3 linked regions of the Coturnix japonica genome follow. The protein of the gene in region 2 interacts with the protein of the main gene of each other region in a pairwise test. Links are inferred from orthologs where the notes say so. Each region holds a gene or a part of one and is shown on either strand. Other genes may lie near its edges.

What was found.
Region 1: the proteins of LEMD3 (region 2) and SMAD1 interact in binary tests that used the Homo sapiens proteins (3 or more experiments, as listed by UniProt). The link is inferred for Coturnix japonica from reciprocal best matches to the Homo sapiens genes LEMD3 and SMAD1.
Region 3: the proteins of LEMD3 (region 2) and SMAD9 interact in binary tests that used the Homo sapiens proteins (3 or more experiments, as listed by UniProt). The link is inferred for Coturnix japonica from reciprocal best matches to the Homo sapiens genes LEMD3 and SMAD9.

Annotation. Positions count from the first base shown.
Region 1 is NC_029519.1:27,382,215-27,385,654, reverse strand, and holds the end of SMAD1 (mothers against decapentaplegic homolog 1), read right to left. Parts: intron 3,112-3,440; coding exon 2,968-3,111; 3' UTR 528-2,967; downstream 1-527. UniProt on the Homo sapiens protein: Transcriptional modulator that plays a role in various cellular processes, including embryonic development, cell differentiation, and tissue homeostasis.
Region 2 is NC_029516.1:30,815,673-30,819,339, reverse strand, and holds the start of LEMD3 (inner nuclear membrane protein Man1), read right to left. Parts: upstream 2,935-3,667; 5' UTR 2,859-2,934; coding exon 1,460-2,858; intron 1,454-1,459; exon of another isoform or gene 1-1,453.
Region 3 is NC_029516.1:154,136,772-154,140,522, forward strand, and holds the start of SMAD9 (mothers against decapentaplegic homolog 9), read left to right. Parts: upstream 1-905; 5' UTR 906-964; intron 965-3,751. UniProt on the Homo sapiens protein: Transcriptional modulator activated by BMP (bone morphogenetic proteins) type 1 receptor kinase. SMAD9 is a receptor-regulated SMAD (R-SMAD).

The sequences.
Region 1 (3,440 bases), on a different chromosome or scaffold from region 2:
AGAATAGAGCAAATCAGTAAGAAAACTTCTCTGAGCTGCTCCAAAAAATGTTCATAACAGCCTCAGGCTAGCAGTTACTTTTAAGGTTGCTGCTGTTCTATCACCTGTTTTTCTGGTAATTAGTCTCAGGTGCTACTCATCAACTTATATAACAAAGTCCAGCTGAGATTTTCTGAGTCATCACATGAAGGTGTACTTTTCTTCTACACTTAATATCTCCTTACCACAAACAAAAAGCTGGATAATATTTAAAGAAAACAATATGTACACTGCAATTCAACTATACCAAAAGCATAGAAAAATTCTAAACAGAATTTCAAAAGACTGGGACCCACAAAAGCATTAAGTTTCTCTACAAATAGTAGCTGATTTCAACCCCCATTTAGGAAAAAGAGAGGAATTACATACATATGGCCAAGTCTGCTAGTATCTCTTGGGAATGAGAAAGGTCCAGCTGATCTGAACTGGTTTGATTGGTTTGGTCCCTCACCTGGCTGCCCAAAACTTAAGAGACAGTAACACTCAAAAACATTTGCAACAGAACTGTCTTTATTTCAAGGCTATTTGAAAGTTTATTATAGTTCTCATGGGATCATCCAAATATGGGGAGGCAGAAACACTTTTATTACTTAAGACCTGTGTGACTGGTGGGTGGTTGTAGCACTTAAAAAGAAAAAAAAAACAAAAACTGCCCAATTTTTGTCAACAGAAGAAGGAAACCTGGTTGGGAACAGCTGAAAGTGAATATAGAAGGGATTGAAGAAAAGATAAAAAAAAAAAAAAAAGCAGAGTGAGCCAACAGGAAACAGTATTATTTCCTTTTTATGATCACCTTTAACTTAAAAGCTTAAGACTTGTGCCTTGATCAGCACTTTAAAAGTCATGTTAATATGAATTTTAAAAAAAATGTTATTAAAGTTGCAAAGACAAAAAACCACACTGCCACTATGGCCTTCACCTCCATCAGGTCTCCAGCAAAACAGCTGGGAGGCAGCAATACCCTCCACAAGGCAAACACACAAGAGATTGTGAAGGCTGATACACAACAGCTGTGTCCAAACACTTTCTCCATGGAACACAGGCATTCAAACAACCTCCACATGATTAAAAAAAAAAATACTGTAAAGGAGGGAAGTATTTATTTTAATGGAGACCTCTAAACACTTCATGGAAGGGGATCAGACCTACTTATTTTAAAACAAGAGAAAAAGAAGGTCACAACTGAAGTCATATCTCACTTGAACTCTTACATTACAAGCATTTCTCACTGAGTTTCTCAGATCTCAGTCAATGTGTAACAGTCCTGACTCAGTCACCCCCACACAGTCTACAGTTTGCTAGATATTTCTGTAAAAGGCAAAACTCTCTGTTCAGATACTGTATGTTGAAAACACAGAAATTTTATGAACTGGAATTTCTGTGTTACTGCATCCATATTAATATATAATTAAGAAGTCTTTCCATCTAGAGAGCTTATTTATCTCCCATGCTAACTTCCGTAGGGTTACTAACCTGTACTAGCCATAAATGTCAGTGTCTCTTCACTTCTAGCTGTTCCTCCTCCAAGATCACATCTTTATCTGGTTTGTCAAAATCTACTAAGAAGTGGACAAGACAAAGTTTTAATCAAATGTAAGCAGTAACAACAGGTTTTATTCAAAACTTCCAGTAAAGAGGAGCCGCTAAGTTTGGAATAAAGGTACTTAAAGTACTACAGCTTACGTGAATATAAAAGATCAAAGAGAAGACAATAAACCAAGCCGTAAAAAAAAAAAAAATTAAAAATATATATATTTTTAAAAGTTTGAAACAGACCCACATGAGGATTCTGAAGCCCTCCAAACAATTAACAGTTTCTAGATTTGGCAAAACAAGATTCTCTTACAAAATTAAAAGCCTATTTCTGTTACATACACTGTATAAAACTGCTCAATAGTTAAAAGAGCACACTGTACAACTTTGTCTTGAAATACATAGAGCTGCAGCCTTCCAACTGCAGGAATTAATCATTTTGTCCTCTTCAGAGGTAAAAAGAATTAACCAGCTGCGCAATTGCTCTGGGAGAAAAAGGAAGAGGCAAAAAAAAAAAAAGTCAGAATTATCAAGGTGAAGCCACTATAAAAATGAAATGCACAGCAAAACTCAGACCTCAGTTTAAACTAACAACCTATGTTTACAATATATTCTACATTTCAGTTGTCACCTTCTCTTCCCACTCCCTCTTCCCCCCATTCAAATACTCCTAATTCCTTTATGGGTCTACGTCTAAAGGATTTCTAAACTTTCAAATACACCATACATACATTTACCAAAAAACATTCCTAACATTCTTACAGCAGTACGGTCAGGACACAGTTTCCAAGATTATGACAAGTTATTGGTATTAAAACTATATGTTAGGTGTTTGGTTTGGTTGTTTTTTGTTTGTATGTCTGTCTTATAAAGAGAAGAATAACCATCAGCTTAAACAAATGATTTTAAAACATACTGCAGAAAGCCTGCTAAAAGCAGGCTTCACCAACATTAGCTCCTAGCCCAAGGGGACAACGTGGGGGAAAAAAGCAGTGAGTGCTGGATGTCATGAAGGAAGAGAATCTCAGAGTGCCAACCATAGGAAACTCCTTTGTGGACTCAGTCCAACAGCTTGTTGTTCTGGCTCAGTAGCCTCCTTTATGGTAAGGCCTGCAAATCAACTTTGCAGTAGAACGTTACTGTGTAAACTAAAATACTTGATACCAACAGTATTATGTCAAAGGGGTTGGTTTTTGTTTTCTTTTTTCATTGCGTTTTGTTGTATTGTTTTCTTCCCCGAATCCAACAGTTGGTCACAAAAGTAAATTATTTTCATGGCTCTTACTCAGCTGTTGTCAGTTCAGGGGGGAAAAATGAAAAAAGTGTGTGTCTGACTCATACGTCCTTCAAGTACACGCAAGGCTCGTTGTTTCCAAAATGCAGGAGCTTGGGACCTTAAGACACTGAAGAAATAGGATTATGAGGAGAGCCCATCTGAGTAAGTACTTTATCCAGCCACTGAAGGGGACCGTGAAGGTGTATCTCTATCCAGCATGGAGTACTCGTTACATCTTGTCGATGATATTCAGCTCCCCAACCCTGGAAACAGAATCATAGGCAGGGAAAATCATCTTACTGATAATAGCAAATACATGAGAAGCACACTTGAATCCATTTCTTTCTTACTGAAATAATCTAGCTTTCATAAGTGATTTTCAGCAGAACAGCATCTGATCACTATCACATTTCAACAAACAAACCCCAAGTTTGAAAAAAAAACAAAACAAAATTTGCAGCAATTGTCATTTTGTGATCTCTTGGAATTGAACTCTAAGTTCTCAAAAGATGTCACTTCTGGCAATACAAGACTTCCCCACACTTCACTGCCAGTTATATCATGTCCAATAAACCCTCTAAAGAAAAAGGTA
Region 2 (3,667 bases):
ATAACTAATACGTGTTCACCACCTTCCCAAAAACCAGACTGAACAGTAGTTATTAAGAGCCACGTGGATGGTCAAAGAAACTACAGCAGATGTTCTAACCTTTATTGCTGTTGACTTTTCTTAAACACTTAATTCTTTGTCTCCACTCCTCCCACAGAAAGCATGAAAAATAAAACTATTCTATTATAGTTACTGCAATGTAATAAAATGAAAGGGAAAAATAAAAACAAAAGATAAACAGAATAATTTCAGCTCCATCTGTCCTGTAACTTCTAGCAGAACCCAAACTAGCAGCAGGATCATTCCATGCAAGGCACTTGTATTTATGTTCACGTATGATTATACACATGCCCTAAAATCCGTACAAAGAAATATTAAGAAATGTCTCAGATACATATGAACATATGTCCACATATTTCTCCTAAGTGATTGCAAGAACAATACAATCACTAGCACAGGTTGCCCAAGGAGGCTGTGGATGCCCCATCCCTGCAGGCATTCAAGGCCAGGCTGGATGTGGCTCTGGGCAGTCTGGTCTGGTGGCTGATGACCCTGCACATAGCAGGGAGGTTGAAACTGGATGATCATTGTGGTCCTTTTCAATCCAGGCCATTCTATGATTCTACAAATCTCCAAGAACCTTCTAATGGTCTTACATCCCAAAACAAGCTTTTTGAGCAATTTTTCATTGCTCCCAATGAGTAACAGCATGGTTTTTCATTCTGGTATTATGCCTCCTTAGGTGGAAATGGCACACTTCCATCTTCAGATGTTTTGTGAATGGAAAATGGTAGTTTCCACACCCATTCCAATAAATTGCTTCCATGTATTAAAGACACACCCAAATAGTATAGGATTAAATTAAAAAAAAAAAATGCTGTGAAAACCAAAGTACAGCACAATAGCATTTAGTGCATAATCACATTTTAAATGTATAAGCACATATTCGAAAATAGTATACAACAGGTTAAAAAACTGCACAAAGTTTGTCATAGCGTTGAAAAAAAAAATCAGCCCAGCATCCTCCCCAGCCTCAACACACATACACACAAAGGCAACCTGCTTCATTACTTAACAACTACAGTCGAACCTTTGCCCTGCAAGAATCCCAGGTATCCAAACGAGCATCTTCTCTGAGGTGGGTAAAAGCCTTACCTTGTCGACTGTCTATTAACCATGATCTTCTAGACTGAACAAAACATGCTAGAAAACAAGGTACCAATAGATTACAGCAGAGAATAATAAGAATATGGGTTTATCCCCAAACGTCTGGCAAGCTTCACTACATCGCTTTAGGAAGGCCAGTCAGTTCCTGTGTGCTCCAACCTAAGTGGGAAATTTATGGAACAGCAGAACCACAAACTGTGCAGCACAGACCACCTGAGAACGCAGAGTTGGATTAGCAGCAGTACATCCCCTTGCAGAAATTAACTGCCCTTCCCCTTGACCTAATACTTACTGTTGGCTCCCACATCCTCAGCTACTCCAGAACCTCTCATTCTCAGGTATGTGAATCCCAGTATCAGAAAGAACAAGCATGCAGCAGTTAAGAGGAACATGGACAGGTAATGTGCACTGAAGCCTCCAGTGGTGGATACCTCCTCTCTTTTGAACTGTTGGAGAAGCTCCTCCTCGGGCTCGGAGAGATTCTTCTTGTAGGTGTTTTTCAGGTAGGTGTGATTTGAACCCGTATGATTGGAGTGGTTGAGTCTGAGGGAGGCGCTCCCGCCCGGGGGGAGGCTGTTGGTAGCGGAATAGATCCTGGCCTCTGTGCCGTAGCTGCCGGCGGCCCCGCCGAGGACGTGGTTGTTGGTGGCCTTCCTGGCGGCGCCCGGGGGCTCGGCGCCGTCACCGCCGTCCGCGTCCGAGAGCGGCGCCGCGGGGCCCCTCCTGGCCGGACCGAGGCGATACCGGGGGCCGATGGGACCCGGCTCCGGACTCTCGCATCTTCCCCCCGCAGCGGCCGCCGTCTCCTCGCGGCTCCCGCCCCCGTCTCGGCTCCCGGCAGCGGCCGCCCCCGCCGCCCCGTCAGTCGCGCCGGCACCGCATCCCCCGCCGTCCCTCTCCATCGCGCCGGCACCGGCCGCGGCGCATTTGCTCGCTGTGAACGGCGCGGACTTGCCGAGGCTCCGTCTGTGCCGTCGGGCCGCCGCCTCCTCCCTCGGTACCTGCTGCCGGGCCGCCGCCTCCTCTTCCTCCGAGTCTGAGTACTCGTTCCCGCCGCAGGCGAGCAGCCGGCTGCCGTTCACGGTCCGGTTCTTCCACCGCCGCTGCTCGCCCTTCTCCTCCTCCTCCTCCGCGTCGTCGTCGTCCTCCTCCCCGCCGTCCCCACGCTCCCAGGCTCTCGGATCCGCTCTGCGTGCCGCCGCCGCCCCCCACCAGGCGCCGTGCTTCCGCCGGGCCGCCTCCTCCGGGGGGGCCGGGCCGCCGCCGGGCCTCGCCGCACGGAAGAGGGGCGAAGCCCGCTCCCTCCTGCCGCCGGCCTGGCCGCGAGGGCCGGGCTCCGCGTCCGACTCGTCGGAGCTGAAGCCCAGCAGCACTTTGCCGCCCCCGGCAGGGGGTGCAGCGCGGCTCCGCCCAGCCCCGTGGAGGTACGGGTGCTCGGCGCCCGACAGCCGCCCGCCCGCGCCCGCTCTCCCGGCGCCGCCGCCGCCGCCTCCGGCCGCCGTGTTATTGTTGTTGCTGTTCCGGGTCTTGTTGGCGCCGCCGCGGGCCCCGGCTCGCTCCTCCTCGCGCAGCTTCTTCAGCTTCTTCAGATAGACGGGCCGGGTGCTCTCGGTGACCGGCCCCGGAGAGAAGCCGAAGCGCCTGAGCTCCGAGAACAGCTCCTCATCCGTCAGCTGCGCGGCCGCCGCCATTTTCCGCTCCCCCGCCGCCGCGGCGTTTCCTACCCACGCGCCGCGCCGCGCTCCCCGCCGGAACTGACGCGTGCGCACTCGGCTGTGGCCTAGACCCGCCCGTCACCCCCAGGCACCGCCCGCCCCCGGCCCTGGCTCGGCTGCGGCTCTGGGTACACCCAGACCCCACCTGCACCGTGTGAGCCGCTGCTCATGCACACACAGCCGATCCTCAGCCCTCTCCTAAAAGACAGGCAGCGCTGTGAGATGTTGCTGTGATGTGCTCCTCAATGAGCTCAATGGAAGATGTGCCCTGAGCATCACTCTCCTTAGACATACCAGTGTCTGGAGATGCTGTTTTCTGTAGGAAAATATACCGTCTCAAATATAGAACCGTGAAAACTAACAACATACATCAAGTGTGTTCATCACATGGGTGTTTGTCAAAATAATTGTGCCGATTGGCATTTCTCTGCGTGGGGCATGTGCCAGCCCTCCTGGTCCTGGAACAGGCTGCGCAGGGAGGCTGTGGATGCCCCGTCCTTGGAGGTGTTCAAGACCAGGTTGGACGGGGCCCTGGGCAACCTGATCTAGTAAAGGTGTATGTTTGGTGGCCCTGCCAGGCAGGGGGGTTGGAACTACATGATCCTTGAGGTCCCTTCCAACCCGGGTCATTCTGTGATTCTGTGATTCTGTGGTTGCCCTTTGACATATAGGCCTCATGTAGAGACTGCAAAGTCCCTTTGTGACCCATGTGCCTTTGTCTGACCATCCCAAACGACAAACTCTTGGCCTACCCACCCATGAGCACACCATAAATGCAGCACTGT
Region 3 (3,751 bases), about 120 Mb from region 2:
GGGTAATACCTAAGGCAGATCATACATCCACTTTTCAACAGCAGTTTACTGTTCTCTGTGCAGTGTCACGGGCCGATGGGACCACTCACAACCCTGTGAAGGTATTACAACCCAGTTTGTAACACAATTTATGTTTGAATTACTCTTAGGAGGTAAATGGAAATTCAAAGAGACCGGCTCACAAAACCATTGGGCAGCAAAATTCCAGGCACTGCCTGCTGGGCTGGTGGGACCCCAGCAGCTGGATCCCACAGCCACAAGCACTGCTGTGACCGTGGGACGAAGAGGACACCTCCAATACTGACATCCCCGGTGTGTCATCCAGGCAGAGGATCCTGAGGAGAGCTGGTGGTCCCGCACAGCCCGGGGAGGTACAACCGGAGCCCAGCTCCCTCACAGGGCACTGTCCCAGTGTCCCCCTCACAGCCACCCCGCGGTGCTCGGAGCCATTTGTGAGGGGTCTGGTCACATCCCCGGAGGGACACTCGGGAAGGGAGGGCTGTGCGCTTCTCCTCGCCCCCTCGGGGTGCCCAGGCCCGGCTTCTGCCCCTAGAGAGACGGGGCGGGAAATGGCGGCGCTCGGGGACCGGGATGGGTGCGATGCAGAGAGTGAGCGGGGCGAGCGGCGCGCAGTGGGTGCGGAGGGTGAACTGTATGAGTGTGTCACACTCCATGTAGTGTGTGTGTGTGAGAGAGAGAGGGAAAAAGAGCGAGTGTGCGCGCGAGGCGGGCGGCGGGGGGAGCGCAGGGGCGGGCCGGCGGCAGCGGCGCTGCTGGCCGCGCTCCAGCCCGGCGCACTAATACAGGCTGGCGGCTCCCGCCTGACTGACGCCGGCCGGGGCTGCTGCTGCCGCTGCCGCTGCCGCGCTGCGCCCTGGCCCCGCCGCCGCCGCGCAGCTGCAGCCCCAGCCCCGCTCCCGCCCGCGGCGCGCCGAGACCCCCACCCAGCCCGCAACGGTGGCAGGTAAGAGCCGGGATCCCGGCCGCGTCCCGGGACGCAGCGCGGTGCCCAAAGTTCGTGCCGGGGTCGGGCGGCGCACCTGGGGCCGGCGGTGCGGGCGGCATCACCACCGGGAGGGAGGGAGGGTGGGAGGCATCCCCCGGGACGGTGCCCATCGGCGGGATGCGGGAGACACGGCGACGCCAGGGCTGAGAGCGAAAAGGAGGAGCGCGGGGAGAAAAGAGCGTTGTTGTGGATGGCTGGAGGCTGACAAGCATTCCCGCTGCGAGGGCTGCTTTCCTTAAGGAAAACAAAACCCACATGACTCGTTCGGAGAGAGTTTTTTCCCTTGCAGAGGTTATTTTCTGATCGAGAAATCCCGGCGCCGGACGCGCTCCCGAATAGAACAGAGCAGATTTGGGTTTGCGCTCCAGCTGCAGGCGCGGGGTCCTTCAGAACCAAACCGAACCGGGGTGACCCGCGATTGGGCCCGTTTGTATCCGATTCCGATCTCGTGTGTCGGCAACTTTGTGTTTTCCCACTTGGATTTATTTGATGGGTGAATTAATTTGATCCTTGCCGGGGCTGCTCGCTAAGGCACGTCAGTGGGAATAAAAATAAATGACACACACATGCGTGCGCACAAACACACGCGTGCTGTTAATTGCTGGCGTTTTACAGATTTGTGAGCGGGGAGGGGGGGAAAAAAAAGCACAGCCCAGAATGGCCAAGTCTTCGGTGAATGAGCTCTGCCTTGGCAGCGGTAGGAAGTGATGTGCACGTCTCTGGAACACGTTCAAGTTTGTGGCTGCCGGGGAAGGACACTGCAGAGAGCACGAGTTTCGGTGCTTTGCATCTCCTGTGTGCAGAGATGTGCGGCTGTATGGGTGGCGATGCCCTCCTCGGATCCCAAAATATAAGCTTGAGAAAAAGCCACGAAAGTCTTCCCGTCAGCCACGGGAGGATGAATGTCATCGCTCACCCAAACGTCATCCAGGCTGACAGCTCCCGTTGTCCAGGTTTGATGTGTGCCCACGTCTGCTTAGTTTGCGTTTGTTTCCTTCTATACTTCAGAGCCGAGGCTTCAGGTGTAATTTTTGTTTCATTTATTTGACATACTGAGTTACTTCGGCCACAAAGTGTGCCACAAAGTATTCTTAAAGTGAATCCTTTCAAGAAACACCCTGTGTTCTTCCTTCTGAGTTCTGCAGTAATTTCTGCTCCTGTCTGCCCTTTATGGTGGAGTTACAAATGTTCTTCCTCACCCTGTTGCAGGCATACAAGCGATAAAGCAATAACCGCAAAAACAAATAAGGGTCACTTGTATTTTATCCCAATTTGATCAGGATTTTTGTTTTCATTGGAGTTGGGGATGGATGCTCTTATTTACGTGCAGAACTAAACTGAACACACACAAAGGTTTGCTCTGAGCTCTCAACTTTGCAGAGCAGTTAAGCATTAATATTTTATCAATGCACTTGTCCCAGGCTGAGAGCACATACACGTATGCCGCATACCTACAGAAGGTGGAGGCGAGGCACTCGGAGCCCTTGCACACAAACTGGTGGTGGTTCCCCATCTGCCTTCACTGGGGACAAGGCAAGGCCCGACCCACTAAAATAGGACCACAGAAATGTTGGCGTAGCGTATCACGTAACATCTGGACAGTTAATCCTCCTTTCTCCCCTTTTATTCTTTTACAGACTTTGTGTATCTCGAGCTTGAATCCTCAGATATCTGCTGTTATCGGCTCGGCAGATAGGGTGTCATGTAATCCTCTGTGCTGAATGCTAAAGTGCTGTAATTCTGATGGCCTGGCTAATCTTTCTCGATAAAGTTTTATTTTTCCATTGTTAAATTCAAAGGACAGTGACTACTAATTACAAGTGACCTCTAACCAAAACACCAGTTAGCATTTATCGCTGCTGCTGATACTCGCTAAGAGTAATTCCAGCATCAGCTCTATGGGGCACCCTGCTTCAGAGAAACCCAAAAGAATAAAGGGAGCTAAAAGGGGAGAAAATACATAAGCTCTGGGTCATTTGTGGTAAAAATGTAGTGCGAGCGTCCATAGATTCCATTTGCTCTGCAGTATGTCTGTTGCAAATAATAATGACATGGATGAGGAAGAAATAATTAAAAATATCATCAATATTTTAACTGAAAACAGCACAGCAAAAACGTACAGAAGGTTGTTATGGTAGGCTGCCTGGTTTCCTGCTGCAGGCTGGTATAAAGAATCATTAGTGTTATTGTACATTAACAGCAAAAGATAGTAATAGCAATGACAATTTGAGAGAATCATTGCTTTCCTATTACTGTCTTTGAGAGCATTTGTTCTAAGAAACATTAGACTGAATACAGTGTAATAAAATTAATTTTTTTCAAAAATATCCCCAATTATTTCCCATCTTACATTCTTTTATAATGTTTGAATGGTAATAGCATAATAGCATGGGAATTTTACAGATGAAGAGGTGAATTAAAGAGTCCAGGGCTCTGCGTATTTATTATGGTAGCTGAAAACCACGCTGTGCTTTTGCAGATGAGTTAGATCTAATAGACTGCGGGATCAGAGCCCAGTCTGAGATCCTGACAAACAGATGTACGCATTTAAAACAAAACAGGTGAAACTTTTTCTGCCCAGGTTTTAGTGAAGATACCTGTGATTTTTAGATGAGTTGCTGCACAGGACCGACAGCAGGATTCTGAAAGAGCTATTGCAGCATCTCAGACAGGTGAAGCAGTTTTACTTTGAAGTTCAGCTCCTCAGGACAAGGACACAACAAGGACACAGTGGAAGTGGAGACA